Elephas maximus indicus: one gene and its partners. The protein of the gene in region 3 interacts with the protein of the main gene of each other region in a pairwise test. Links are inferred from orthologs where the notes say so. Each region holds a gene or a part of one and is shown on either strand. Other genes may lie near its edges.

Evidence for each region.
Region 1: the proteins of LGALS8 (region 3) and APEH interact in binary tests that used the Homo sapiens proteins (3 or more experiments, as listed by UniProt). The two-hybrid records come from large-scale screens. The link is inferred for Elephas maximus indicus from reciprocal best matches to the Homo sapiens genes LGALS8 and APEH.
Region 2: the proteins of LGALS8 (region 3) and TAX1BP1 interact in binary tests that used the Homo sapiens proteins (3 or more experiments, as listed by UniProt). The link is inferred for Elephas maximus indicus from reciprocal best matches to the Homo sapiens genes LGALS8 and TAX1BP1.

Annotation. Positions count from the first base shown.
Region 1 is NC_064838.1:54,089,929-54,099,851, reverse strand, and holds the start of APEH (acylamino-acid-releasing enzyme), read right to left. Parts: upstream 3,807-9,923; 5' UTR 3,715-3,806; coding exon 3,703-3,714; intron 3,628-3,702; coding exon 3,495-3,627; intron 3,487-3,494; exon of another isoform or gene 3,390-3,486; coding exon of another isoform or gene 3,377-3,389; intron 2,942-3,376; coding exon 2,815-2,941; intron 2,383-2,814; coding exon 2,289-2,382; intron 2,190-2,288; coding exon 2,114-2,189; intron 2,025-2,113; coding exon 1,861-2,024; intron 1,698-1,860; coding exon 1,560-1,697; intron 1,464-1,559; coding exon 1,372-1,463; intron 1,295-1,371; coding exon 1,254-1,294; intron 1,173-1,253; coding exon 1,051-1,172; intron 438-1,050; coding exon 377-437; intron 1-376. UniProt on the Homo sapiens protein: This enzyme catalyzes the hydrolysis of the N-terminal peptide bond of an N-acetylated peptide to generate an N-acetylated amino acid and a peptide with a free N-terminus. It preferentially cleaves off Ac-Ala, Ac-Met and Ac-Ser.
Region 2 is NC_064826.1:88,872,979-88,883,246, reverse strand, and holds the start of TAX1BP1 (tax1-binding protein 1), read right to left. Parts: upstream 4,347-10,268; 5' UTR 4,240-4,346; intron 1-4,239.
Region 3 is NC_064842.1:27,838,984-27,848,324, reverse strand, and holds the start of LGALS8 (galectin-8), read left to right. Parts: upstream 1-5,265; 5' UTR 5,266-5,633; exon of another isoform or gene 5,634-5,750; intron 5,751-7,581; 5' UTR 7,582-7,679; coding exon 7,680-7,721; intron 7,722-9,341.

The DNA of each region.
Region 1 (9,923 bases), on a different chromosome or scaffold from region 3:
AGGAGGACACTCCAACCTAGTGGCCTTCTGAGATTCATTAAATGGGCCATGGCTTTAACCAACCACTGGAAAAACCAGAAAAATCTAACATGAGTTCCAGCACAGGAATGAAATCATCCAAATCTCCAGCAGCTTGGATCCCTCTGATCTCAGCTTTGGTCCAGCCAACTCCCTTCCATAGGAACTGTTCCCTGTGGTGATGACCCCACTCCCTGTGGAGGCTGGACATGGAGTTGGCCCAAAAGGGAGGGAGGAACCTCGGAAAGATCCCAGGATGGAACAGCTGGGGCACTGGCCCGGAACAGGGAAGAAACAGATGGGAGGGAAATACAGAGCCACGGGCTCCACTGCCCCCATCCAACCACGTACCCCTTACCTCCCAGCTGCCGAGGCACGATGTCCACCACCACCGAAGTGACCTTGGTGTACCAGTCATACTGCGAGAGAGTACAATGGTCAGGGACACCAGAGGATGGGTACTGCCCTCAGGGCACAGAGCTCTGCCATCAGTCCCCATCTCTGGTAGTCTCAGGGGAAGAAGGGGAGGACCTGATACTTGAGTGAACCGAATCTGATGCACCTCCGTTCTGGTGACCTGGACAAGATGCCCAGAGGGGCTCAGCTAGGCAGATACCTCTGACTTTCACCAGGGACCTGGAGCTTTTCTTGGGCAGGGGACTGGGACTCTATACCAGCCACTGCCATTGAGCTGATTATTGCAACTCCCGTGTGTCAGTAACTCCCCACTATATCCCAACCCCTTGCACACAGCCTGGTCATGTGCAGATGAGAAATCAATGGGAGGGGCATTTCTACAAACAGAAGATGGTCTCGAGGTGGTGAGCCCTGATGGTGCAAATTCCCCATGCCAATGCTCTCAGCCCCTAGCCCCTACCCGGAGAGCGCAGGCGGAACTCACATCGACATGCACCAGGACAGGAGGGCATCCAGTGGGGCCCATGTGGAGATGATGCTGGCCCTTCAGCTCTCATCCTCCATCCTCTCCTCTTGCTGTCCAATGCCCACCCCCGACCCCAAACTCCAGCTTACCAGGCACAGCTGGCTACACTGATGATGGGGGACCAGAGATGGGTACTTAAGGTAGACAATGCGACACTGGTCTGGGCTCAGCCGGGGAGAAGAGACAGCCAGGGAGTCATCCGAGAGGAGTTCTGGGCCAGATGGAAACAGTATCGATGGGCTGGCAAGGCCAGAGTGCGTCAGGAAAGCACACGCGGGCACCACTCACTTACCACACTTCCCCTCAGCGAGGTCCACATAGTACAAGGCTGACCTGGAACCGCCAGAGAGATACTCAGCTTCAAGACCAGCCTGGGCTGCAGGGCCCCCTGCCCTGCCCCACTTTCTCACCTGCGATTGGTGCAGAAGCGGACACCCAGTCGGAAGGGCTCATGCCACCAGCCCACGAACACTACACCTGTGTCTCCAGGAGCCCAGAATGCCTGTAAACAAGACCACAGGACAGGTGTGAGCAAGGGGGAGTAGCTCAGGTAGGGCCCCCAGGCTCCAGGAGTGACGTGGACCAAGTTGGCACTGACCTGTCCAGGGGACACATTTTCAGGAACCCCCTCAAGCACAGAGATGTTGCCACTCTCAACATCCAGCACACAGAGCACAGGGGTGCTTTTGGAAACCATGTTTTCTCCCCAGTCTTCATAAAACACAAACTGATCCCCCTGAGAATACGAGATACTTAGTGGCCAGGCCTGTCTGCAAGGCCCTGCCCTGCCTGCAGAAGCCAGTGCATCCCCTGTTCTGACAGGTGGTTTGGGCAGGGAGCACACTGAGCCCCGGGGCTGCACTGCAGGGCCTGCAGGGACTGGCCACGGCCATGAGCACCTTGATGGCCTGGTCTGGCTTCTTCAGCCTAGCCATTTCATCATCACTGGCACTGACGTCCAAGGCTTTGCTCTGAAAGAAGGACTCAGTCTTGGGGCGCTTCTTCTCTGCCACATACAATAAGTGTGTCTCCGAGTGCGACCAGGACAGGCAGCCAAAGCAGTCTGGGTGTACGAAGGGCCAATCAGGGGGAGCCCAGGGCTCTGGCTGCCCCTCCTGCCTACCTGGCCTGCTCACCAACCAGATGCCTCACCATCCTCGTACACGGGCCCATGTTTCTCCAGTGCTGACAAGTTGAAGCTCTTAAGCTTCCGGTTCTTCTCCCAGACCTGAGAATATTTGGGCGTCAGGCTGCCCCACCTCCAACAGAGCCTTATCTGTGGGGCTGAGCCCCCAGCCGCCCGCCCCCTGGCACCATGCAGACTCACTTCCAGGAACTGCTTCTCTTCCCCAGGGCTTGTGCCTCCAGCCTTACGCAGCACAGCTTTCATGGCACCTGATGGAGATTCTCTGCTCAGCAGTCTGAGAACATGGGGCATCAGGTTGGGATTGTCTCCCACCCACCAACAGCCCTGCCCAGGCCCCTCACTAGCCACAAGCTCTTAGACAAGATTCTTGAAGCTTTGGCCTCACACCAGCCCCTGCACACAACCCCCCCGCCCCCTGGCCCAGCCCCACCATGGCAGCTGGCCTTGCCTCTCCTCCCTGGGGCAGGGGCTCTACCCACTCCGGCCTCTCCCACACCCGTAGGCTCTAGACCAGCTAGGGGTTTGGAGCAAGCCTCCAGTGCTTATCAGGCCATGTCACCAGAGGCCAAATGAACTCCCCAGGGGCATGAACCTGGCTCCTGGCCTCTCTTCAACACCTTGCCTGTACTGGGGCACATGGTGGGCATTCACAAAAGGCTTGCAGATGGCTGTGGCCTTGTCCACAAGCTTCCTCCCTTGCACTTACTCCCCCCGGGTCTCCACGCTGCTGCCTGCAGGCCCTGCAAACACCACTGAGTCCCCGTCGTGGAACACCAGATACTGACGGCAGAATCGGATGTTCTCCATACGTTCAAGGTCCCTCTGGGTCCATTCTGCAAGGGGAGGCCTGACGCTGCCCAACCTGGACAGTCCCTTCCACAGCCCCTCACCCAGGAAAGCCCAGCTCCACATCCCCTCATCTGTCTCCACATACCCTGGGTGCAGGCCTCTCTTGGAGAGAACCCTCTACTGCCCCCAGAACCCACCCTGGATCCTGAGGGTAGCCTGGCTGCCCCAGATGGAGGCTCCAGGTGCACCCATGCCCCATGTGTATGGGAGGGTGGAGGGCCCTACAAGGCCCACACCCTACACCCAGGTCAGAGTTCTACTCCACAACCCTTGTGCACACTCTAGTGGCCTCACCCCATGCATTCATGGGCCCCATCTAATATCGGCTCAGTACACACTCCCCATACACCTGTGTACACAGACCAGTAATACCTTCCTATTTCTACACTCCTCCATCCCCACACCCCCCCAAACCCCACCTTCCTCCGACATCCGTGTACACCTTCAGGTAGCCAGCCCTCCACATTCCCGTTCTCTCCAACCCAGTGCACGGTGCTGGAGTGGGCCCGCCACCCTGATTCCCCTCCACACACACACCAGTGTGCACCGTCCGGTAGAGGCCCCCGTACTGCGTGGTGACCTCCGGGCCCAGGCAGGCGGCGCTCAGCGCGGGCTGGCGGCTAAGGCCCCGGTACAGCGCCGCCGCCTCTTCGGGCTCGTTCAGCAGCACCTGCGCAGGGGACACACCAGGGTCAGGCCCGGTCCGGGCTGCGGGGACCACGGGGACCGCGGGCCGAGCCCTCACCTGCCGCTCCATAATTGCTACTTGGCCGCCCGGGACAGGCGGGGAGCGCAGGCACCCGGAAGTGCGACTTAGAGGGGCGGAGCCTGGGGCGCAGCCAGTTTCCGCCACAGACCTCGGCGGCGACCTGGGAGGGCGGGGCCTTCAGCCAAAGGGCGTGGACCGTTGACCGAGGGGCGAGGCCTTTATGCTAAGGAAGCGGGGTGAGTCAGGAGAGCTGGAGGGGAGCGGGCGGGGACAGCGAGGAAAGAAGCGGGCCCTTTTAGGGGAGGATCAGGCTGGTGAGAGGCGGGATTTGTGGGCCGGGTCCCAGGCCTGTTACTGGGAGGGGAGTGTGTGGGACTTCCGAGGAGAGGGGTTGGCCCTGAGGAAGGAGAACATGGGGGCGGGCCAGGAAGGGACAGATCTGTGAAGAGTGAAAGGGCCTACGTGAGAGGGCCTACGCGAGCAGGCGCTGAGCCCTTAGGACAAGGCTGTGAGGCGAAAGAAGCGAGGTCGGACCGGCAGTGACTCTGCGCAGCCAAAGGGCTGGGTGCAAAGGAATGCGGACCAATGAATCTTTGAGCATGAGGGGCAGAAGCTGAGGTCTGTGAGGGCAGCCATCGAAGAACGCTTCAGGGTGAGGGGCGGGGCCGGGGACGGGGTGGGGCGGGAACTGCGGGCTGTGAGGAAGGCCATCAACGACACCGATTGGTGGAGGGGCGGGGCCACGGGGCGGGGCGGGCCAAGGCCCGCCCCAGGATGGGTCTCCCGCGGCTCCTGGGTCTGGCAAGCATTTTCTGGGCGCGGCTCCCAGGCAGACGGGGAGAGGAGGGCGCTCGTCAGCTCTGGGCGGGGCTCGAAGAGCAGAGCCCAGGGTGCAAGGGAAAGAGGGGCGGTTGCCAAGTTTTCCCGATGTCGCCTGGGTTTATCGGCCACCAGGCCTGCCCCAAGAGCTATCTGTTCCCGCAGCCCTCACCTGCCCCTCTCAGTGGTGCCTCGCTGGGATGGTGAGCGAGTGGAGCTTTGCCTGCCTCCCCAGGCCTCAGTCCAGGCTCTTGGATACATAGGACCTCGTAAGGACAAACGGCATCAAGAACCAGGGAGCTTACTGTGGAAAGAAGAGCCTGGGAAGGCCAAGAAGTCCTGAACATGGTGCAGGATTGAGTGGGCTACTGGGACAGTGGAGGTCTGGGAAAAGCCCCAGCAGAGGCCAGGCAGCAGTCAGGCTAGCAGGAATGTACTCTCCATCTCCTCGAAGCCTGGCTGGCCTTCCACGCCTCTGCATTACCTGTGCCACACCTTGCCTTTGACTGAGCTCTCACTCGCCTGGCCTTCGGTTTCCCCTTCCTCATCAACCACATTGGATTGGCTAAGTAAAAACAGTCCCCACTTTCTGAGGTCACTTGCATTTATAAGCACCCAAAGTGGGCAGGGCTGTGTCCCCAAAAGACCAGGACCTGGGAGCAGAAAAAGTGGCCTGGGCCACCAACCTGGGCGGAAAGGTTGGAAACTGGGATGTTCATCACAGTTCTGTTCAGAATAGGAAAACCGGGAACATGGTGCCTGTCCCTCAGAGTGTATGCAGTGGACTGCCTATAAGCTCACTGTGCATCTCTCTGGAGTCTGGGGATTTAAGGATGAACATGTAAAGTACCTGGAATAAGCATCTAGAAACAAATGGGGGCTGCACCTTCCTGCTGCTTCTTAAAAATGAAATAGGAATACAAACAGGAAAGGAAGGACAGGAATTAAAATATGAGCTGAGGGGGGTGGGCCTGAGGTGAGGCTGGTATTCTTTTTGCTTGTGTGCACTTAAAAATTTTTTTAGCAACTCTGGTAAGGAGGTACGCCCGTCTGTCTGGGGATGGACTTAGGTCTGGACTTAGAGTCTGAGGGTTGGAGTGGGCAGAGCCAGAACTGGAGGGAAGACAGGTGTAGAGCTTGTTGGCAGCACCAGGGGGCAGCACCTACTCACCTGCCTCTCTAAGCCCTGGCCCTGTGAAGCAGTGTGAAATAGCCTGGATACCTACAGGCAATGGAGGCATTGTTCTGCAATGACTTGTGCAGGTCCAAGCTTGGGACCTTCCTTGGGTGCCTTCATGGAGGCACACTGTCTGGACAGTTTGGTATGGACGCAGCTGGTACTTCTGCAACTTTGCCCTTCACTCTTTTCCTTTTAGCCTTGAACAGACAGGACTATCACAAATTTGGGGACTTTCTCCTCAGTCTCAAAGCCCCCTCACTTAAGAATAGTAAGCCTTTCCATTTCAGAAACCACCCTGGAGACAGTCTGCAGGTTGTTTATATCAAGTCCTTTTATTCTGATACCACAGAATTACCATGTCACGATACAGGGGGAGGGACACTGAAGTACCACGAGTTCTCACAGAGCACAGGAGGACGGCACACAATTCACAAGGTCATGTGAAGGACTCGGGTCATTGCACTTACAACTGTAAACTTGTTTGTTTGACTTTGTACAGCACTCTTCCCCCCTCAAATAAAGGAGAGAAGGAAAGAAAGGGAGGCAGGGAGGAAGGAGGGGGAAGCAAAAACAAGACATGGAAGCTAGCAGGGGAAAGGCATTGGGCTGCCACTACTCTCCGGGCACTGCACTTGGAGAGAAGGAGCTGGTTTGATCCCAGAGGCTAAAGGAGGCAGACACACACACACACACACACACACACACTCACACACATGTTCACGTGCACACACAATGTCTCATGACTTCCATGGCTCTCCAATGCCACCCCAGTGCACATGGCAGCAGGGCTGCTGGTACCCAGGGAGACAGAGATGGCATCTCCAGGGAGTTTCAGTGGATTAAGCCTATCCCTCTGACCCTGACAAAGTCTATGCTGATGAGTATTTACAGCATGAGGGGGCAGTGGGTAAGGGAGCAGGGGAGGGGCCAGCAGGGCAGGACTGTATTGCCATGGCAAAGACCTGGAAAAATCCCCCACAGGCTTCAGAAGATAGGCCATAGTTGCTGCCTCTGCTGCCCTCTCATAGTGGCGCTGAGACCGCACACTTTGCCCAAGGGCTGGAGGCAGGGGCTGGCTGTAAAGTGAGTACCTTGGGCCTGGATGTGGGCAGAAGAAATGCCCTTGCTTGTGATGCTGGGGAGGGTATGGCAAAAGCCTGGCCCACATCCCAGAGACCCCCTGCCCGTTTGGAGATACACCTGTTGTTCCCCACTGCCCCAGGCACCAAATGCTGGTCCCTCAGCCTCTGGCTGCAGTGGCCCTGGAGCCACAGCTGTATCCACACAAGGGCCAGAATACCCGTGGCCCAGAGGCCTGCTCTAGCCACCCTCACAAAGGGGCAATAACGTGTCCTGTGAGTAGAGTGGAGGGTGAGAGTGGGAGTGTGACAGATGTCAGAAATTTCAAACTCAGAGGGCTTGGCCAGGAAGGAAATTTGCTGAGAACTCAACACTTCAGAGCCTGAGACCTGGCATGCTGGAGGCTGCTCTGCTGCCATCTCGCCTGCTGTTCCCTGCTCCTGATCTTATCCCCTGGCCTTTAAAATAAAGGGCTACTGCCTTGGTCCTCCAAGTATCCAGCCCACTAGGCATGTCCCCACACAGACCTGAACTTGGGTGTTCAGAGATGCTCGATGGTGGTCCCCCTCAGCCCTTGCTCAGCTGGCTTCAGATGGTCCAGGCCTAACGCCCCATGGTTGAATGAGGCCCAATCCCATGAGGCCAGGGTCTCAGTCCACCACCAAGGTTGGCAGCCTTGGGACCCACCTACAGCTGCCAGAAGTAGGCCAGGATCCCTTTCTGAGGGGGCATGTAGACCTTATAGGAAAGCATGAGAAATATGGACCCCTGAGAAATGCATGGTGCAAACCAGAGCACTCTGGAGGAAGGCCAGGCTGCAAGGAGTCAGGCAGCTACTGCCTGCTGCACTCCTGGCTCAGTGTCAGAGAATCTAACAAGCAGTGGAACACTACAGCTTCAGAGATAGGGTAGGCAGGGATGATAGGTCCTAGGGACTGATACAGAGAGGGTCACACAGGACCTTCTGTGAGTTTTGTCATTGAGATGCTTCCCAGGAAATTCAGCTTGAAGCCATTGTGTATGTGAACAGCTCACCTGCTCTGGTCCCAGATGACACTGTCAGCTGTCCTCGAAACAATCACCAAAGGCCCGGCTTTTCCTGAACACCCTTTGGCCCCTTGACCCCAGCCCAGATCTCCTGGCTCAAAGATTTTTGAGCCTCCCAACCTCAGGGGCATTGGCACGGTGCAGGTGCAATCGGGAACTGGGTTCCTAGGACACAGCTAGGCCCTGCCCATGGCTGCCACCCCTCTGTCCGCAGATGCAGCCCAGCTCTGCCCCACTGTGAAGGTACAACCAGATGCCCCTGGCTCAGGGCTGGGGCAGGAGGAGCAACCAGATACAGATAGAAATCCTACAGCACGCTTTTAGAACACTCACACACATGCATCCTGTGCGGGCTCCTGCTGGGGTGCCAACTCCAGAGATTCCTTCTCACCTGCCCTTCTTGGTCAGAGAGACCTGCAGGGGTGTATGAGGCCTCGAACTGCCTGCTTCACAGCTTGGCAAGCTCAGGCAGCAATTCCAGCAGGTCCTCACTAGCTCGTGCAGAAGTTAGCTAGAATAACTCCTGAAGGAAAAGTTCTGAGGCAAAAAGAACTCCAAGCAAGAGGGTCAAGCATTTAAAATGGATGAAATCGTGCAAAGAGGCTGCAAGCTGTGCATGCTCCACTGTGGGACAGGCGGTGACTCACCTGGCAGCAGCAAGTCCTGCCACAGGTCAAACATGCCACAGACTGAGAACTTCACACACACGGTGGGAGTCAGGGTGGGGGCTGGGGAGTGATATGAGCGTATCCATCCAGTTTCTCAATTGCATGTTTGCAATTAAATCCTTATACATAACATGGAATTTATTAAATATTAACAGTTGTCTTTGAGGGTTTATATTTCATTGCATAGAACATTAGAGACTTGTGGCTGTCCCCAAGATGAAGGGAGTCCCCCTGGGAAAGGGCCCTTGGGAGGAATTCGCCCAGCCCACCAGGTAGATGGACGGCACCACGCTTCCGCACACAGGGCTCCGGGCCCTTCCCTTGGCTGGCAGAAGCCCTGGCCCCTCTGCTCTGAGCATGCCCACTGGTGATGGCTTAAGAAGGACTAGAATTGCACAGTAAACAGAGGCGGGCTAAGGGGCCTCCCTAGACCTCGCCCTGGGGTTGTGCTCTTGGTGGCCTGCTGCCCACTATTGCTTCTAACTCAGTATCTCCCTGTGCTTAGCAGGGGCAGAGCAGAGAGGAAACCAAACCATCAGTCACAAGGTGGAGGTGGAGGAGAGGGGCAAGGGGGTGAGCAAAGAGAGATAAAGAAAGAGGAGAAAGAAAAACAAAAGAAAAATGTTTATGAGGTATACATGTAAATCAAGCTGGAATGATTAAGGCTGTTCTCGAAATCAAAAGAAATCCCCAGGGTACTGACGAGGAGCCCGCTGGTCAAGACAATGATGGTGCCGCCGGGATGCTCACAATGGCTGGGGGTGGGGGGATGGCTTTGAGATGGTGGCACACTGCCACCCATGGGCTAGGAAAAGCCTCAGCCAGCGCCCACACTGCTTTTCGGTGCTATGGCCTCTTATTTCAGCAATGAGACAGTGTTAGGTCCTAATGTTTGTAAAGTTCTCCCAACCCCACACTGGCCACATGGAGGTCTGTCTGCCCCCACAGTCACCCAGAGGGCAGGGTGAGGGAGCAGTGCCCTGTGGCCACAGAGGGATCCGGGCCAGCTGGAATGTGAAGGAAACGGAGCCCAGGGCCCCCAGCCCTCAGTCAAAGCCCCTCTCCAAGGCTGTGGAAAAACTTCTGGCGTCGTGGAGGGAGGGCAGTGTCTGTCAGAAACAGGCAGTGTGCGCCCAAACTCTGTGTATAACTCATTGGAAGCCTGGCTGGCCAGGCTGCAGAAAGGCGGCTGTGGGAAGGTTGGCAGGACAACCAGGTGGTGGCAGGGTTTCCAGAGAGGGCCCTGAGGAGAGGAAGGTCTCCAGAAAGACAATCAAAGCCCCCCGGGGCTGGAGGTCTCACTTGTCCAGCAGATGCTTCCCATAGGCAGCTGCTGTTAGAAAGCATCCTGTCCTCGACCAAGGGCCTGCCTGCCACGTCTCACCCGTTTTGAGTCCCGGGGCCAGGGTTTGCCAGATTGTAGATGCTTGAAAGAGAAGAGAGGGAGGGAAGAAGGAAGGAAG
Region 2 (10,268 bases), on a different chromosome or scaffold from region 3:
GAAATTTCTACAGGGCAACTACAGCAGTAAGACTACTCATATTTTAGCAATCATTATGAAAGCTTCATTGCTAAAGAGCTAAGACAGTTTGCTTTTACAACTATTTCTTTTGCTGACTTGTTTGAAATACTCAGCCAAATTTTTTAAGTTTTGAAACAACACTTTAGAAAATAACCGCTTCTCTTGTTTCCTGTTTCTCCTCTGTCTCCTCGATGCTTCCATTATGGTCAAAGTACTGCTTTACTGCAACAATATACTGGACATTCCATAAATAAACTGTCAAAATAGTGAACCTGGAAGTCAATGTGGTACAACACGAGGCCAGTTGTCTCTGTTAGCCTCTCCCCACTGAGGTTTGCCAGGATGCAATACTCCTTAACCTCTGCCCACTAACAAAGGGGCTTTATTATCAATAACCCTATTTCACAGAAGAGCTTAATTGTTAATCCTCCCCACCTGGTAACCTGAAGCCTTCAGGAAAGCAACAACACTTGGCAAAGAAATGAGGAACTGTGCTTGAAATAACTGAAGAGTTTTGTTTCTTTGAGTTGTCTCTGCTAATCTGGGCTCAAGGAGATGTCACGATACTTAGGAAGTCATTAATGATAATCTCCTTTCAAGTCAGTGGTTTAACAAGGAAGAAAAAAAAGCCATGCACTCCAGTTCTTTTTAAAAAATGTTCATTATTAGTTACAAGATACCAATGATATTGTAGCTAAATCAGTTGAACCAACTTCTATTAGTACTATCTTAGAAGTACAGCCACAATGCTCCATAGAAGCAAGGATGAGAGACTATGTCTCTCATACTGTGGATCTGTTATCAGGAGCCATCAGTTCCTGGAGGTAGATATCATGCTTGGTAAAGCACTGGGTCAGCAGAAAAATAAAAGACCCTCTGCGAGATGGACTGACACAGTGGCTGCAACAATGGGCTCAAGCATAACAACGATTTTGAGGATGGCATTTTTTTTACAGGGCCAGGCAGTGTTTCGTTCTGTTGTACACAGGTAACTATGAGTAGGAACCAACTTAACAGCATGTAACAACAATCCCCCTTCAGCAATCCAATCTTTTTATAAAGTTCAATGAGACCATAATTATGTATTTTACAAAAGTTTTTCCACTCTCATTACTTTGGTTTTTTCTTTTCATTAAGTTCCAAGATAGCTTCTAGTCATAAAAATGTTAACATAGATGAATGCAATCTGAATATAATTACCCATTTTAAATAGTGAAATAAAAAGTCTAATCCCCCACAGTTCCTCTGATTCACTCTTCCCACAGATAAGGAGTGAAGAGATGGGAAAGCTTATAAAAAAGTTGAAATACACTGAGAATGCCAAGATATCAAGAAAATTCACACGCAGATTTAAACACTACCTACAGGCACGCACACAAACACAGGGCCCGGTGAAAAAGTAATGTGCAAAGTCACTGCATCACCTTGTGGTAATGATTGGGAAGTGTAGCTGAGAAAAAAACTACAAACTGCCTCAGTTGGAAAGGAAACACAGCCCTACACACAAAGGGAAATGGAAGCAGCTTTACCATAACAAATTTTGCTTTCCACCCTCTAAAGTACATCTCTAGAAACATGGGTATATTAAGCCAAGGATAAGTAAAAATTTTCCTGCCAAGAATTAAAGAGACAGATACATTTGACTAGGAAACAAATTCTGAAATGCATACACATGCTGGCTGCAGTACCTCATCTCTTCCAGGTTTTCAACTATATTCCTTAAAGTCCTAATACCACTAGAATTCCTTTATGTGTGTTATACTGTAGACTACATATAAAGTTTTTGGTCTAATATCCAATTTTGTTATTTTGGGAATTCATCAGTGGCTAAAGAAAAGATAAATAACATCCAGTGGGCACTGGGTTAAGTATCTAAAAAAAAAAATTTAGCTACAATAAATTTGGGCTACCCAAGGACTCTCTGGGGGGGGGTAAAAAAAAGGCATTTCAAGGTTATCTTTACTCCCTCCTCTTGCAACTTTTTCAAGCCTCAAATAAATCTGGCTTTTGCGGTATCTTTCAATGGCTCCTGGTATTCATTTTACTTGACTAATCCAAAAATATGAACCTTAGTCAACTGAAGTAGAAAAAAGACCCACTGAGTACTTCTGTGGAGAAAACATACAGAACTGAACTAAGCTTTTTAATTTAGATAATAATCTACCAGCTCTAACAGAATTCAGAAGGAAATAAGGTAACTTTGTTAAGGGTAATAATGTGATTATGGTGGTGTTTTTTAAAGTATCAGAAATGCTAAACTAATTATAAGTGAAATACTGATGTCTTAAATTTGCTTTAAAAATTACAGTGGGATAAATAACTGTGTTAGAAGAGAACAAAGATAATAAACCAAGATTAGCAAAATATTGCTTCATTTTACCATCTCTACAAGCGTTACTAAAAGCAAATAAATAAAGCAGATTAGTACTAAAAACTCCATGTATGATGTACTACCATAGAAACAGTGCATTCTAGACCACGAATGTTTTGTGTGCTCTGAGTGTCGTAATTCAGATAACCACCAACAAAGTTAGTGTAAGTTTAAAAAATCTTGGATTAAAAAAAATACGAACCCTTGGAGTCCTTGGGTGGCACAAATAGCTAAGCAATGGGACTACTAGCCAAAAGGTTGGTGGTTTGAACCCATCCAGAGGCACCTGGGAAGACAGGCCTGGCGATCTGCTTCAAAAAGTCACACCCTTGAAAATCTATTGAGCATTTCTCTACATACACGGGGTCGTCATGTGTCAGAATCGACCAGATGGCAACTAACAACAACAACAAAATTATGAACTCTTAAAATTACCTCCAAATTCAGTCCTTATGGGGCATACAAACATCTGAAGGATAAAAAAAATTTTTTGACGTTTTGAAAGTTTCTGATTATTCATGCTTTAGCTCAAAGACTATCAACTGGTTTACAGACCTCTAAACGACAACAAAAAAACCTAAACCCGCTGCCTCGCGTAATTCCGACTCATAGCAACCCCAATTCTACACAAATTGCGGCAGCCATAGTTGTAAACAGTGTAAGAATGTGATGACTAGAAAATTAAAACTACAACAGAATGTTCTTTGAAGTCTGACGATCACATTGCCAAAAAAAAAAAAAAGTAAGTCATTTCTAGAGTAAAAAAAAAAAAATCCTTCAAGGAATCAAATCCACCCCAAGAACAGAACGATAAAGTCTGGCCTCAGCTCTTTATACCGAAAAACCACTTTGAAGGCAATGAGCCCTCTTTTACAACCGCAAGGTGTAATACTTTATTTACCAATAAAGTGACACAAAACGCCGCCAACACCACCGCCCCCCTACCTCCAGTCCACTCCCCCACCCCTCCTCCACCCCACCCCCAGATAAGCTCTGTAAGCTCTAATCCTAGGCCAGGGAAACTCCTGAGAGAGACTGCAAGAGCTCCTGTCTGGACACGTTCACTACCTGCGGGGGGAGGCGGAGGAAGGAGGGGTGAAATCAAGAAACTTTTGACTAAGCCAAGAAAAACGTGACTCTTCTCGGAAAATTAAAAAAATTAAAAAATCCCTGTGAGTACTAAGGGGAGGGGCTATTTCTAAACACCTCACAAAAATCAGTTTCTTGATTCTGCAGCCCAGGTAAATAAACAAGGTCGTACCTGAGCGGCTAACTCCGCCGGCGGCCCTAAAATGTGGGCGGCGCAAGGAGTCTCCGCCTCCTCACCCACCCGGCGACTCGACCCAAACAGCTCGCTTTTCCTCCGCAGAGGCGAGGCCGAGCCTCCTTTCCGGGCTCCACCTAGATGTCTTCCCCAGCTTGCCGTCGCCAGGAGCGCACACGCTGCCCTCACAACAGTCACCCTAGCGTTCTGACAAGATTTTTTTTCCTCCTCCGGGCTGAGTCACACGCGTCGCTCGCCCCCCGCCCAAGGGTCCACGTCCCACACGCCTCCGCAAAATCTCTAAGGCCTGTTCCGTGTGGAGCGGCCACTTATGGCTTTTCCAGCTCCACAGCTAACCGAAACTGCTCCACTTCCCGTCACAATAGCAGTCCGGCAGGAATGGTTTCTCCTCGGGAAGAAAAGCATAGTCATTTGCCAGCATCGTCACCACGGAGAATATTCCCCGGACCGGCCAGGGCCCTAGACTCCGGGGACTGAGGGACGTATCACGGTCCCCAAGAAGAGCTCCCACTGGGGCCCGCCCCGCCAAGGGCGCTGGAGCAGACCTGGGAAGGCGCCTTACCCAGTGAGGGGCTCCCGGCCAACGGGGGAGCGTCAGAAAGGCTTCCGATCCCGAGACGCCATCAACTGCCGAACTCCTTCCGAGACCTCCCCTCAGGGCCGGGAGCCAGCGTCGCGTCACTTCCGCCCATAGGGCTGTCCCTTCCGCCGCCGCCGCCGCTTGGGGCTCCGCGACTCCCCACCTGCCCCAAAGTAGGCGATTCAAAGCCTGCGGCCCAGGTAACTGCGCGCATTTCTCCGGCCCGCTGCTTTTTCCCCTTTCTTTCTACCTGGCAATTTTCACTCAGACACCTAGTTCCAGCAAAACAGGCCCTGTTCGTTTGGATTTGTTTTTTTTTTTTTTAATTGTTATTTTGACCTACAAAATGGGGAAACACACGGAAAAGTTAAGTAACTTAACCAGTGCGATAAAAGGTAGCGAAGTGATGGGAGGATAGAGAGAGTTGGAAGCTGGCAGAATTGTCACGAAAGGAGAGACTGGAAGGACTGACTCATTAGGGGGAGAGCAAGTGGGAGTACGGAGTAAGGTGTATATAAACTTATATGTGACAGTCTGACTTGATTTGTAAACGTTCACTTGAAGCTCAATAAAAGTTAAAAAAAAAAAAAAAAAGGTAGCGAAGTAGCACATGGACAATTACCATGCCACTGCCTGGATCTTAAAAATCTGTCTAAACTAATCCACTCATCTTATAGATAAGGAAATAGAACCAAAGGAAGGAGCCCTGGTGGCGCAGTGGTTAAGCGCTTGACTGCTAACCGAAAGGTCAGTGGTTCCAACCCACCAGCCGCTCCACAGGAGAAAAAAGACCTGGCCATCTGCTCCCGTAAAGATTTACAGCCTCATAAACCCTATGGGCAGTTCTGCTCTGTCGCATAGGATTGACTATGAGTAGGAATTGACTCCGCCGCAATGGATTTGGATTTTGTATGAGTTGGAATGGACTAGCTGCACACAGCAGAAGCGAAGGGAGCGACCACAAGGATAGGGCTACAACTTCTAAAATCCAACGCTCTCTCCTAACTCCTAGTCAGTCTTGTCCCTTTTTAACTACGATCACTGTAAATCCTCAGTTTCTCTGAGAAGCTCTTCTGTTCTAATAATGTTCTGTGATTCTATTTGGTCTCACTCCAGAACTGGTTTCTTCACAATCGCATTTCTGTGAATTGTTACCTGTATTATTTTAAGGTTGGGGTTGTTACTTTGCGGGTGCGAATGTTGCCCTTCGTTTTCTGTTGAATTGCAATTTCATTTATCACTTTTGACTATTATATATGTTCCCTTACTATAATAGCCTATAAAAACTATACTATAAAAACCCCGGTGGCATAGTGGTTTAGAGCTATGACTGCTAACCAAAAGGTCGGCAGTTCAAATCCACCAGGCGCTCCTTGGAAACCTTGTGGGGCAGTTCTACTCTGTCCTGTAGGGTCACTATGAGTCGGAATTGACTCGATGGCACCGGGTTTGGTTTTTTTGTTTGTTTGTTTAAATGGGACAATACTGTAGTTCAGCATGGGTTGAAAATTAGAACCAAGTTCAAATAGGCGTGATAAAGAAATGTCATTGCAGGTTTTAAAAACCAGGCAAAATGAGTTGTCTCACCCTTTAGAACACTGGTTTTCCTTAGTGTTTGTATTAAGGTTTTCTTTTGACTACTAGCCAAAAAATTGGTGATTTGAACCCACCCAGAGGTACTGCAGAAGACAGTCCTGGCAACCTGCTTCTGAAAGGTCATAGTCTTGAAAACCCTATAGGGCGGTTCCACTCTGCACGCATGAGTCAGAACGGACTGGAGGGCAACTAACCACAACAACATAACTTTGTTTAGGAAATAGAGCTGTTAAAGATGGGATTTGAATAATGGTGGGCTTTGGCTAGTGAAAGAAAAGAGAGGACTCAGAACACTCTACAATAAGGTGGTTTATTTTCTCATACCCGATGTGTTAGGAGATGGCATTGATGTACTCCTTCCTCCTTATTGCTTCCTGACTATTATTCTCCCACATATTTATAAAAAAAAACTTTGCTCCTTTGAGGTGCACATCACTCAGCTACGCCACCCTCTCTCCTCCTTGTTGTTTGCTGATCTCCAAGTCACTCTTCCTCTTTCACTGAATATTATCACCTATTCCCCAGACTTGGTTTCCATTCTAAGCCCTTCAGTGTCTACGTGGATGAGAGTTCCAACATCTTGGCTTATTTTTTTTAATATATTTATTTTGTTTTTGTTGTTGAGAATATACACAACAAAACATACACCGATTCAACAGTTTCTACATGTACCATTTAGTGACACTGATTACATTCTTCAAGTTGAGGAACCATTCTCACTTTCCTTTTCTGAGTTGTTTCTCCCCTTTTAACATAAATTCACTGTCCCCTAAGGTTCCTATCTCATCTTTCAAGTTGCTGTTGTCAAATTGATCCCATATACATAGTTCTTAAAAGAGCATAATGCCCAAGGCAGGCATTTTTTACTAATTAAGCTAAACTGTTGTAGGGTTGTAAGAAGACTTGAGGGAATGTTTTTGGTTTATGGCTTAAAGATTACCTCAGAGCAATAGTTTCAGGGGTTCATCCAACCTTCATGGCTCCAGGAAGTCTGGAGTCCATCAGAATCGAAATTCTGTTTTGTGTTTTCCCCGTTTTGATCAAAATGTTAGGTAATGGTAACTAGGCACCATCCAGTTCTTCTGGTCTCATGGCAAAGGAGACAGTTGTTCATGGAGGCTATTAGCCTCACATTCCATACCCTCCTACTGTTGCTGACTCCTCCTCTTCCCCTGTTGTTCCAGGAGAATAGAGACCAGTTGTTGCACCTTGAATGGCTTCTAGCAAGCTTTTAAGACCCTGGGCACTATGAAACAAACTAGGAGGTAGAATAGAGGCAGTAAACATGTTATTAGACCAATTAACTGGGGTGTCCCATGAAACCATGACCCTAAACCTCCAAACCAAGAAACCAAATCCCATGAGGTGTTTTGTTGTACATACTCCACCTCAGCAGCTACTCTATTTTTTATCCTTGTTGTAAATATCTTACACAACTTTTGACAATGCAACTTTTTACAGGTGTACAACTTATTGACAGCAATTACGGTAATGGCTGTGCAACTCTACCCTTAACTCTGTATTTCCATCACTGTTAACACCCTCTTCTCCCCCTCTCCGGACCCTGGTAACCACTAATAAACTTTGTTCTCTATATATTTGTGTTTTCTTGTCATTTTATGTAACTGAGGTCATAAAATATTTGCTCTTTTTTGATTGACTTATTTCACTCAGCATATTGTCTTCCAGCTCCATTCATATTGTAGTGTGTATCAAGACTTCATTTCTCCTACTGGCTGAGTAGTATTCCAGTGTATGTATGTACAGTACCCCATTTTGTTTATCCATTCAGCTGTTGCTGGGCATTTAGAATGTGCCCACCTTTTGGCTATTATGAATAGTGCTGCAATGAACATTGGTGTACAAGTCCCTGTTTGAGTCCCTGCTTTCAAGTCTTTTGGCTATATACCTAGGAGTGGAATTGCTGGATCATATAGTTGTTGTACTTTTAGAGAAACTGCCATACTACTTTCCACAACGGCTGTACCATTTTGCATTCCCACCAGCAATGGGTAAGGGTTCCAATTTCCCCACATCCTCACCAACATTTGTTGTTTTCTGTTTGTTTTTGTATTTGTCTTTTAATCTTAAGCCATAGGAGTGAAGTGGTATCTCACTGTGGTTTTGATTTGCTTCTCTCTGATGGCTAATGACATTGAGCATCTTTTCATGTGTTTGGTGGCCATTTTAATGCCCTCTTTGGTGAGATGTCTGTTCAGGTCCTTTGCCCACTTGATGATTGGCTTGTTTGTCTTTTTGTTGTTAAGTTGTGGAAGTTTTATTTGTATTTTGGTTGTTAGGTTCTTGTTGGAGGTATGATTTCCAAAGATATTCTCACAGTTGGTAGGTTGTCTTTTTACTTTTTTGGTAAAGGCTTTTGATGAACAAAAGTTTTTAGTTTTTATGACGTCCCATTTATTTTGTCTTTTGCTGTTTGTGCTTTTGTTATTGTATTAGATAATCCATTGTTAAAAGCTAGGCCTGACAGCATTGCCCTGCTGGTTCTTCTAAGAATTATATGGTTTTAGTTGGCACATTTAGTTCCTTAATCCATTTTGAATTTGTTTTTGTGTATGGCACGAGGCATGGATCCTGTTTCATTTTTCTGCATGCGGAAATCCAATTTTCCCAGCACCCTTGTCAAAAGTCAGTTGACCATGGATGTGTGTGTTTGTTTCTGGGCTCTCAGTTCTATTCCATTGGTCTGTATGTCTAATGTTATACCAGTACCAGGCTGTTTTGATTACTATAGCTTTTAAAATCAAGAAGTGTGAGTCCTCCTGCTTTGTTCTTCTCTTTCAACTTTACTTTGACTCTTCAGGCCTCTTGCCATTCCATATAAAGTTGAGAATTGATTTTTCCATTTCTGTAAAGAAGGCTGCTGGAATTTTGATCAGGATTGCATTGAATCTATAGATTGCTTTGGGTAGTATTGAAATCTTAACAACATTAAGTCTTCCGATCCATGAACATGGAAGATCTTTCCATTTATTTAAATTTTCTTTTATCTCTTTCAGCAGTGTTTTATAGTTTTAATTATATAAGTTCTTCACATCCCTGTTTAGATTTATTCCTAGGTATTTTATTCTCTTAGACACTATTGTAGATGGAATTGTTTCCCTAATTTCCTTCACCTTGGCCTTTTAATGTCTTCAATCCCTCATCTCCTCCCCTCTACTCCAGACACCTATTTCCATGATGGCCTGGGATGAATTGTGTCCTCCAAAAATTCATGTCCACCTAGAACCTCAGAATGTGACCTTATTTGAAAACAGGGTCTTTAAAGGTGTAATTAGTTAAGATGAGGTCATACTGGATTAGGGTGCATCCTAAATCCAATGACTGGTGTCTTTATAAGAAAAAGGAGAGAGAGATTCAGACATAGATGCAGAAACACATAGAGAAGAAAGCCATGTGCAACCAGAGAGAAAGATTGGAGCAATACACTTCCAAGCTAAGGAATGCAAAGGCTTGCCAAAGACACAAGAAGCCAGAAAGAGGCAAGGAAGGATTCTTCCCTAGAACCTTCAGAGGGAATATGGCCCTGCTGGTACCTTGATTTCAGACTTGCAGCCTCCAGAACTGTTTGTGGTATTTTGCTAAAGTAGGTCTAGGGAACTAATACATAAGGTCATAGATTAGACCTTGTTATCACCCATAACTGCTCCATCTTCAAAATGAAGCATCCTGCTCTTAGACAACACCTCCTATTCAACTAATTTGCTTATTCAACTATGCTAACTATAGATATTTTTCAAACTCATCAGGGTGTCTAATCCATTAAGGTTTCTCCTTTTGATACTTCCCTCATCATCCAGCATAGAGTCTGTGGATTATCATTTCATTTACATTATTTCCAATACCCTAAACTCTCTTGACTTTCTATCTTGCAGATTAAGTGCAATTTCCTGTAACAAACATATGTCGCAGCTTCTGTAGTCATCATGTATTTTACCACTTAAAAGTTGTGTCTGGAAATATTAAACAAAAATTTTTAAGTTACAGTTGACCCTCTTGGGGAGTTTCTGGCAGTATTGAAGAGAGAAACTATAAATTATGATATTAAGAAATAGCCTGCAAAAGTTTATATTTAATAAGACCTTTGCCCCACCTGGCCCCTAACAGTGTTCTTTGTACCTCACACAACTCAGAAGTCACTGTAACATAAATATTGTCTAAACCTTTCTTCCCTATCTTACTGAGAAGAGTAATAGCCAACACAGTACTTTGAATTCTCAAAGGATTAGTGTCTACAAGGTTCTTTCCTCTCCGTATTTCCCATTAAATACCTTTATTTTTTAGTCGTTTGCATATAAATAGCACTTGTAATTAATAAAAATTATTAAATGTTATTAAAAGGTAGCCCTGGTGGTGCAGTAGTGAAGAGCTCAGCTACTAACCAAAAGTTCGGCAAT
Region 3 (9,341 bases):
AGCGAGCATGAACAGTCACTAACGTCATTCTTCTACACTTTGTTAAATTTATGTGTAATTAATGTCTGACACCCACCAGATTTTAAGCTCCCTGAGAGCGGTATTTTTTTTAACCCACTGTGTCTCCAGTGTCTAACATGTTGCCGAATATATTGGAAGTATCCAAAAAGTATTTCTTGGGATGAATACATGAATGTATGGTACTAAATTACCATAGTTCACTAAGCCATTCAAGAAATGGGGTAAAATAGGGTAGTGTCTCATTCTTTGAGCCGCTGTGATGAACTAATTTAATTTAGACTCATCTGAAGGTCTCTCCCATCCCCAAGATTCTTTTATTTTATGACAAAACCATAGTTCTAGAAGCTTGTCTCTCACAACTTAAAAGACTAGATCTAGGACATGACCCTGTAGAACAGAAGAGGTAAGTCTGACGAATCTGGACACAGGGGGTCTGGAGGGTGAAAAGAAGAGGTTGACTGCTCATGGGTGGTGCTAGGGTTAGGGTCTGGGAGAGATTAGTTCAAAGCAAGGAGATTCAAAGAGGAAATGAGCCTGTTTAGAGTGGCGAGGATAGTCAGAAGAGGTAGGTGACAACAACCACGAAATTTTTCCCTGGGAAGTAGACTTATATGTAAGAAATGAGTGTTGTGGTTCTGTTAAGGATACATTCCCAAAGCTTCTGCATAATTTAAAACATGCATAATTCAAGACTAATTTTCTTACGGGAATAAATGGAAAGCAGGAGTATATGTTCTCCAGAGCTCATAAGTTCTCTAACTATTGTAGCAAAGTTTTGCTTTAATACTGCTCTTTATTTATCATTATTACTACTAAAGGGTCCAGAGTTTTGGTTCCTAAATTCACAGCATGATATATCAAGGCAGTTGTTTTAAGTTCTTGATAATGTTTTATCACGTCTAACTTGTATTCCAGAATTATTGATTTTGGGGCATATTTCCCCAGCACTAGCATCATCATTTAATGAATGCCTGAATGACATTGTTCTAGGGCCATTTAAAAAAAAAAAATCACAACAGCAAAAATAACATAGCAACACAATAAGTAAAATCACTGACGGAAGTGCCTTAGTTTGAAACAACCTAGTTCAGGGCACTGACAAAAGATTAGAAGAATTTCTGTTTCATTAGTTAGTGCTGCCAAGTAGCAAGAGCATATATATAGTTCATAACTCATAAGTCTGAAGTCATTATTTTACTATTTTTTAAAAATCTGGGCAATATATTATTTCACATTTTGCCTACAACATGTAATATTTTTATATAACACTATTTCTAACTCTGTAGCCAACTATACTACATAAATGTGGCCTCTTGGGTAAGAGAGAGGAAGATAAAGACAGATGAAAGAGAAATTATTTTGAACTGATACATCTCTTATTCCTGTGTTTTTGGGGGAAAGTCATCTCAGGAACTGCTCCTAAAGCCATTCTCTTTCTCCTGTGTCATTTCTGTGTCCTCCTCTACTGAATCATTCACATGAATAATGTCAGTAGTGTGCCCGTAAGTGTTTAACATTTGGCTCTCTTGGAAAAAAAAAGCCCTAAATTGCAGCAGTTGCTTATTTCCGTGGTGTAAATACTCCTACCCTGTCCAATCTCAAGGAACCAACGTGATATCAGCAAACACAGAGTTTAGAAGAGATGTGCACAGCTGGCTCTCAGAAGTTGGCATGAACCAGCTCCAACACACCACTGAAAGTGTTTTCAAACGTCTAGTCATGACCCATTAGTGGGTCTTGAAGACATTTTAGTGCGTTGTAAGCAGCATTTTAAAAAATGAAAAGTAGAGTGCTTTATGCATAATAAGTACTATTTTGTGAAATTTTTGTTTCAGTAATTTTAAGCATGCATGTAACAAATCACAACAGTAAATGTAGTTCTTATTGTGGAGCACTTGGGAAAAAGTCTGAAAGCTACAGCTGTAGCATCTGCTCTCTTTAAAACCAAAACAAAGATACACACACACACAAAACACAAGAAAAACAAATTCTTCCCTTTGCCCCGCTGCCTCCTCAGCTATGACGCTGTTGCTCTGTTCCTCTGCACAGCAAACTTCTTGAAATATATATAACTATCTCCACAACTTCCTCACCTCACAGTTTTCAACACACTTCAGAGTCAGAATCACCAATGATCTTCCTGTTGCTAAATTCCCTGATACGCCTGTGTTCCTTGATCTCTCAGGAGCATTTGACACAACTGGCTGCTCCTTCTTTTTCAAACACTTTCTGTGGCTTCTATGACCCCACTCTTAGGGGTTTTTCATCCTGCCTCCATGGGTGCCCCTTGTCAGTCTCTTCATTGGCTCTCTCCTTGATTTATCTCCCCAGGACTCCATCCTATGTCCTCTTCTCTCCATCTATCTACTCTCCTAGGTGACCTCAGCACATCTCATGACTTCATATCATTTTCCCCTCAGCTTCAGCCATACTGGTGGCCTGTCTGTTCCCCGAACACAGTAGATATATTCTCAAGAATCTTAGGGACTTCACATTAGCTGTTATCTCAGCCTGGAAGATCTTCATATGACCACCTCCTTTCTTTTGTTTACTAGCAGCTTAAACACCACCTCCTCAGAGAGGTTTTCCCTGGCACCCAACTGAAGTAGCCACCCAGGTGCTCCCTATTACATCGTTCTCTTTTAATCTTCTCCAAAACAAATCACTATTGGATGTGTGTTTGTTATGTCTCCCCTGCTGGAATGTAAGCTCCATTGAAGCAAGAAGAGTCAAAACTCCCCACCCTCATGGAGCTTACAGTCTGGTGGATGAAGACAAATCAAAAAGGTGAATTATATAGGATGTTAGAATATAACAAGTGCCACAGAGAAAAATAAGGTAAGGAAAATAGGGAATGAGTGTTTTGGGGGAGAGGGGTGTTTACAATTTTAAATACGGTGATCAGGAACGGCCTCGCTGAGGATTGATATTTCATGAAGACCTGCAGGAGGCAAAGGAAACATAAAATGCAAAGGTGCTGAGGTGGGAGTATGGCAGGCATGTTCTAAGAATAGCAAGGAGGCAGGTGTGGTTGCAGAATAAGACAGGAAGAAAACACTAGGAATGAAGTCACAGTGTGCAAGGGTGATGCTCAGAACATGAAGAAGTACTCTTGGAAGGATTGGATCTCTTCTTCAAGGATGAGCAAAAGCCAGTGAATATGTGTTGTCATGATCTCTCTGGCTGCTCTGTTGAGAACAGATGACAAAGGGGGAGGGGCAAAAGCAGAGACTAATTAGGAGGCTATTGCACTTGTTCAAGTAAGAGATATGAGACTTCCATATCTTTCTCTTCTCTCCATTTAGAAGAGACCCACAGAGCAAGTACTACAAAGCCCTTTGCATACTTGTATAATCACTCTGCTTTGTCACAGTGAGCATTCAGTACATATTTGTTGATTTTAAATGATATAAAAAAACACACTGGGCTCATTGAACAAAGCAGTGATCAATGAGGGGTATTTCTAGGAACAAATTCTCAGGATTCCTGGAAATTTTAATCCAGAATTATTTTGTGAACACTGAGCTTTTGGCCCTTTTACTCAATCCCATTTGCAACTAATTACCACTTACCAAAGAAATAAAGCGTTGATTTCAATTTACTTTGACTTCGTAAAAGTATTAGACCCAGGCAAAATAGTGAAGATTTAATCGCTCCTCACTTTATCAATAAATATTCAGTTAAATCATATGAAAGTACCATTTTTGAAGAACAAAAAGCTTGAATATCAACAGTTTTGTAGTTCAATCTGGAAACCCTGGTGGCGTAGTGGTTAAGTGCTACGGTTGCTAACCAAGAGGTTGGCAGTTCAAATCTGCCAGGCGCTCCTTGGAAACTCTGTGGGGCAGTTCTACTCTGTCCTATAGGGTTGCCATGAGTCGGAATCCACTCAACAGCATTGGGTTTGGTTTTCTTTGGTTATAGTCCAATCTAATATTCACAGTGTCTACTTCACGCAAAGCATTACACTAGTCATTGAGGAATGTGTAAGACAAGTTCCTTTTCTCCACTTACACTAGAGTTGGACAGATAAAATATGCACAGAAAGATAAATTCAAGGCAGTGTATGTCAAATGTTAAACACAGTTATTTAAGTTGGATCTTGAAAAGTCAATCAAACTTGGAAAATGGAAACAAAGGGGAGAGAAAAATAGTTGTGACTTAGAACTTGAATTTGCTAGTGCGGGATTTGTACTGAATTCCTAAATTAAAAAAAAAAAAAAAGCAAGAGAGAAGAAAGTGCATGGGTGCCACCAAAACATGTCTTTCAAAACGAATGTGGATAAAAGTAGATACAAGTAGGAAGATGAGGACTTTGTGGTCCCTGATAGAAAACTGAAAGCTGCCAACCAACTCTTCAAAGTATAAAGTCATTAAAAGTAGCCTACATAACTTTATTTGTATTCCTGATGTTTTTACAGCCCAACAGGTTCATCAGTCATGTGGGCCCTACTGAGAAATAATTTTGGTCAGGTATTTATTGAGGTAGGAGGCCCAGTGGTGCAATGGTTAAGCGACTGGCTGCTAAGTGAAAGTTCTGAGTGGAGCAAACGGCCTCCACTTGACTACTAACCTACAGATTCGTGGTTCAAACTCACCCAGTGACGCTGCGTAAGCCAGACCTGGCAATTTGTTTCCTAAAGATTTCTGCCTAGAAAACACCATGGAGCAGTTCTACTCTGTAGCACATGGGGTCGCCATGAGTCAGAACAGAGTTTGGTTTGATATACATACTTGGAATTGGGCTCTATACGGCTTACATTGTTCCACAGGGAAGTGTACGACTTATTTAAAAAAGAACAGCACACAAAGTAATTGGCAAATAATCCACAGTGGCTGGAAGTACAATAAAGATAACCATCTAGGTGGGGGCTTTGGGCTTGACACACAGGCTGGCTGCACTCAACCTATTTCTTCACCATGTGCCCTACATCCAAGGGTGTGTACCCGGAAAGAGAGGCGCGCCTCCACAGCGAGTTATCTTTTATGGCACTGCCTAGGCTCTGATCCAACGCTTGTGAGGAAGCAATCTTTAAAAAACACCTGACACTGACCCCGTCGCCCTGGCGACCTCGGAAGGCCAGAGAGGAGGACACGTGGGGGCCCCTCTCTGCTGTCGCTGGTCAAGGCCAATGCCGTGCGACCTGGGCACCAGCCCTGAGCGGCCCCGGCCCTAAGCGCCCCCTTCCTAGGCTCGGCGTCTGGAAACAGCAGGGTGGGCGGGAACGAACTTCCCTTGCGACGACAGCGCCGGGGCAGTCAGGTCTGCCCGGGAATTTTCTCCGCACACACGTTTATCCTCATCCGTCTTGTTGGTCCCGCAGCGAGCCGGCCCCGGTCCAAGTCCCCGGCGGCTGCGCAGAAGGCAGGGTGCCGGTCAGCAGCCCCGGCTGGCGTTCCCGGAGGCCAGCGCCGGCCACGCGGACGCCCGTGCACGCAGACGCCAGGCCGACGGCGGCGCCCCGGCGCGGGAACGGGAAGTGGAGGCGGACTGATCCCTTTCACTTCCCGTAGGCGCCCGGCACGCCGGGAGCGATCGGAACCTGGACGACGCCCGCGGCCAGACCAGCCCCGCTCCCCTCTGCGGGAGCGCCTAGGACGCGGGTCCCGGGGTGAGTCGGCGGCGGCTGGGCCCCTCGGGCGGCAGCAGTCGCCACAGACGGGACCGCTCGGGCTGGACGTGCCAGCCTGGGAGGGGACGCGGACGTCGCTCTTCCTACATCAGTTTGGTGGGTGCGACAGTGTCAGGTCTCCCGGTCTCCCCGGTCCTCTCGGGGCCGAGTCGGGCATGGGTCGCCGGGGGAGGGGGCTGCCTCTGCGAGCGAGGCGCTCCTGGGGTTGAGAAGTGCCTGGGAGTCGTCCGTTTGCCGTCCCGGACAGTCCTGCCTGGCACCGGGCTGTTGGCATCGGTGGCGCGCCTCGCGGCCACCCTACTTCTTCCCACTCGTGCTTTCTGCTCACCTCTTCCCAGGATTGTTTTCTCCCAGCCCGAAAGCAACGGGCCACCTCCCCACGGAGACATCGGGAAGTTTTCATCCCGGTATTTTTAATGACAGTTCCTTTAAAATGTAATGACAGACCTACATTGTTTTCCCTGACTTTAAACACACACTTCAAGATGCCGAGTCATTTTGCTGCAATAACAAACAACGAAACGGGAACTCGTTTGAATTCCTTCCATCATCGGTAAAGCATAAATGATGGCTTTCTTATGAAGTGAACAGAAATGTAAATAGCGGCAGGACCCGTTGATCGGGGAGTGATTGGTTTAATGCAAATTTTAGGGTTTTTTTTTTATGAGTCGGAACAACTCGACGGCAGGGGGTTTGAGTTTTTTTGTTTGCTTTGATGGCTTAAATTGCTCTGGTCACTACTTGAAGTATCGATTTGGCTATAATAAGGCAACTCTGTATTCATTCCGTTTGCTCTTGTTTGTGCTTTCTGAATTTTACAGAGCAGAACGGTTTGAGGTTTTGACTGACATTTTAAGTTAACGACACAGATTGGGGTCCATTAGGTGGGAAACCAAGACGGATGCAGTTTTCTTCTTTACAGAGACAGAGCAATAGATTTGGCCAGTAGGACAGATTGTACAGTATAATGGCAGACTTCTTGGAAGTAGAATGTAGAAAACCTTAGTTTTATTTCCTCTTTAGGTCTGCTTAAAGTCCTCAAGTCTCCCCTGGAGCTATAAAATGTAGTACCAGTGGATGTTATCTTTAAAAATGCCTTATGTTCCCTCTTCTCCTCTTCCCACCCTTTTCTTTAGCAACAGCCAAAAAATGTATCTTAGTAGCATTCAAGGGATTGGGATTTTTTTTTTTTTTTACCTTGACTTGAATAATTTGGTGGAGGGAGAATAATTCTTTCTATTAATAATAATAATAGCTAACGCTTGTATAGCATTTACTATTCCACTGTTTTACAAACTCATTTAATCCTCAAAACAAATCTGTGAGGAGAATACTATTATTATTCCCATTTCACAGACCAGAAAAGAGAAGTTAAATGAATACCTCTGATAATGGTATATGACTGTTTGGTTAGTATTTGCTATTGTTTTCATTTGAGTCCCTGGTTGATGCGAATGGTTAAGTACTGGGCTACTAACTGAAAGGTTGCCATTTTAACCCACCCAGGGCCATCTTGGAAAAAAATCACCCTGCCTGGTGATCTGCATCTGAAAGGTCACACTTCATGAAAACCCTGTGGAGGGCAGTTGTTCTACTCTGACACACATGGGGTTGCCCTGAGCCAGAATCGATAAATGGAAAGGAAAAAAAAAAAAAAGGAATTAGTTTAGTATTTTTTTACAATACATTCCATGTTAGAAATTTTCTATTGATTTATTTTTAAATCAGTATTTGCTCCACTCATATTCCAAGATTATTTAGTATGTAAGTACACCAGATAAGAATTGGGGTAAGATCTTTGATTTTAATAGTGTCTTGTTATATGGTAAATATCAGTAACATAACTTACAATTTAAATTAAAAAAGCAATTATGAAGAAAAATTATGCATGCTTATTTTTCTTTCTCTCTATTTTGATATTACCCAGGGAAAGTACCTCAATCTGGGAAGCCTTAAATGAAACTTATTTAAAATCACAGATCATATACCAAAGAGAGACCCCAGTCAACAATAAGGTGGAAAAGAATGATGTCCTTAAACAGTCTGCAAAATGTCATCTATAAGCCGGTAACTGACTTTCATAAAATCACTTTTTACCTGTGGCAGGCATGAGAGCAAATCGAATTGAATAGTAATTATCCGTAGTGGGCACGAGGGGCAAGGATAAAACTCAGTAAACATGTATGAAGTGCCTACTATGCAATAGGGACTATGGTGGGTGCTGAGTAAAAAATGGATGTGGCTCTTGTGCTAGTCTAATGGAGGAAAAGGACACAATTACAGTAAAAGGCGATGGGCCTCATGAACAGAGTGTGTGGGAGTACAGTGGCGGAGAGGCCAACCTTGGAAAGGGAGTGGGAGTGGGAAAGAAGAGGTTCAGATTACCTTCAGATAACCGTAAAACAATTTCCAAAGGAAGGTGATTTCTTTCTTTACAGAGTTGTCATTTTTCTTCTTAATTAGAACTTACCATTAGATGTTAATATGTCAGCTTTTCCATTGCCATTCACTGCTTGGTATTTGACCAGGCAGTGTCAAAAGCTAGAAGTGGGATGGAGAATGAGAAGAACTGGGGTCTCGTCAAGGTCTCAGGCTGCTCCAAGAACTCTTCAGTGACTGTAGTTGCTGGATATTTCAGTGTGTGCCCTGGGCAGTAAATAACTTGTTTTATGTGGTGATGAGAATCTTTAGAAACGTCTAGTTTCTATTATCTGATGCTAAGTCCTGAGTAGAGTTCTGAGATAAGGCAGCTGCTTTTTTGGGAAAACCCCATAGAGACTCCTGGGCAACAGGAATGGTTAGAACCCTTGAAGTAAGGCCCTAAACCAGTCTTGTGAGTAGGGTAAGGGCCAGGGGGTTAATCTTTTTTGTTTCTTACTTTGTAGCTCTAATTCTTTTTTCCCTAAATGTTAATGTCATTGTACAAGGGTAAGGTTCAAGCATTGTAACAGGCAAAATCAATGTTAAAAGAAATCCTCTTCAATGGTAATAAGTTAAAAAAGGAAGACTTAATGAATTTGAAGTCAGTGAGACAGTTAAAATGGATTTAATGCATCTTAGAGTTAAAAACATCTCAAGGTTGTAGACTGAATTTCTTCAAATATTTAAATTCAAAAAAAGAAAGAGGGCTGCCTGTCAGGAGGGTGAATGTATGGTAGAATTACGCTGGTCAGTTCTGCCCTTCATGTACAAAGACACCTTATTTGAATATTATTTAGAAAACGATTTTATGTATTAAAATCCCTGTATCTTGGTACTAGCATACTGCTGGTTCTTGTAATTTCTGCAGTTAGCCCCCTAACTGTAGAGTTGAAACAAAAATGAACAGACTTTCATTTCCTGATGAAGGAGGTCTGGAGAAGTAGTATGGCTTTAGAGCAGTAGATAACAGGGCTTCCAACCGGTTCATTCCAGTTTGAACCCCTGCTGAGAATTTGCATTTCTAACAAGTTCCTGGGAAGTTCTACATAAAAATCACCTGAAGATCTTGTAAAAATGTAGATTATGATTCAGTATATCTGCGGTAAAAATGCAGCATCTCAGCAGGGAACTTGTTAGGAATGTAAATTATCAGCAGGAGTTCGAATCCAGCGAACCAGTTTGAAGCCCTGGTGGATACATTTAGGCTCCAAATGGACTCCTTGCTGTTCATGATAACAAGTTGGGTTTTTTTTGCCCCTAAATTTT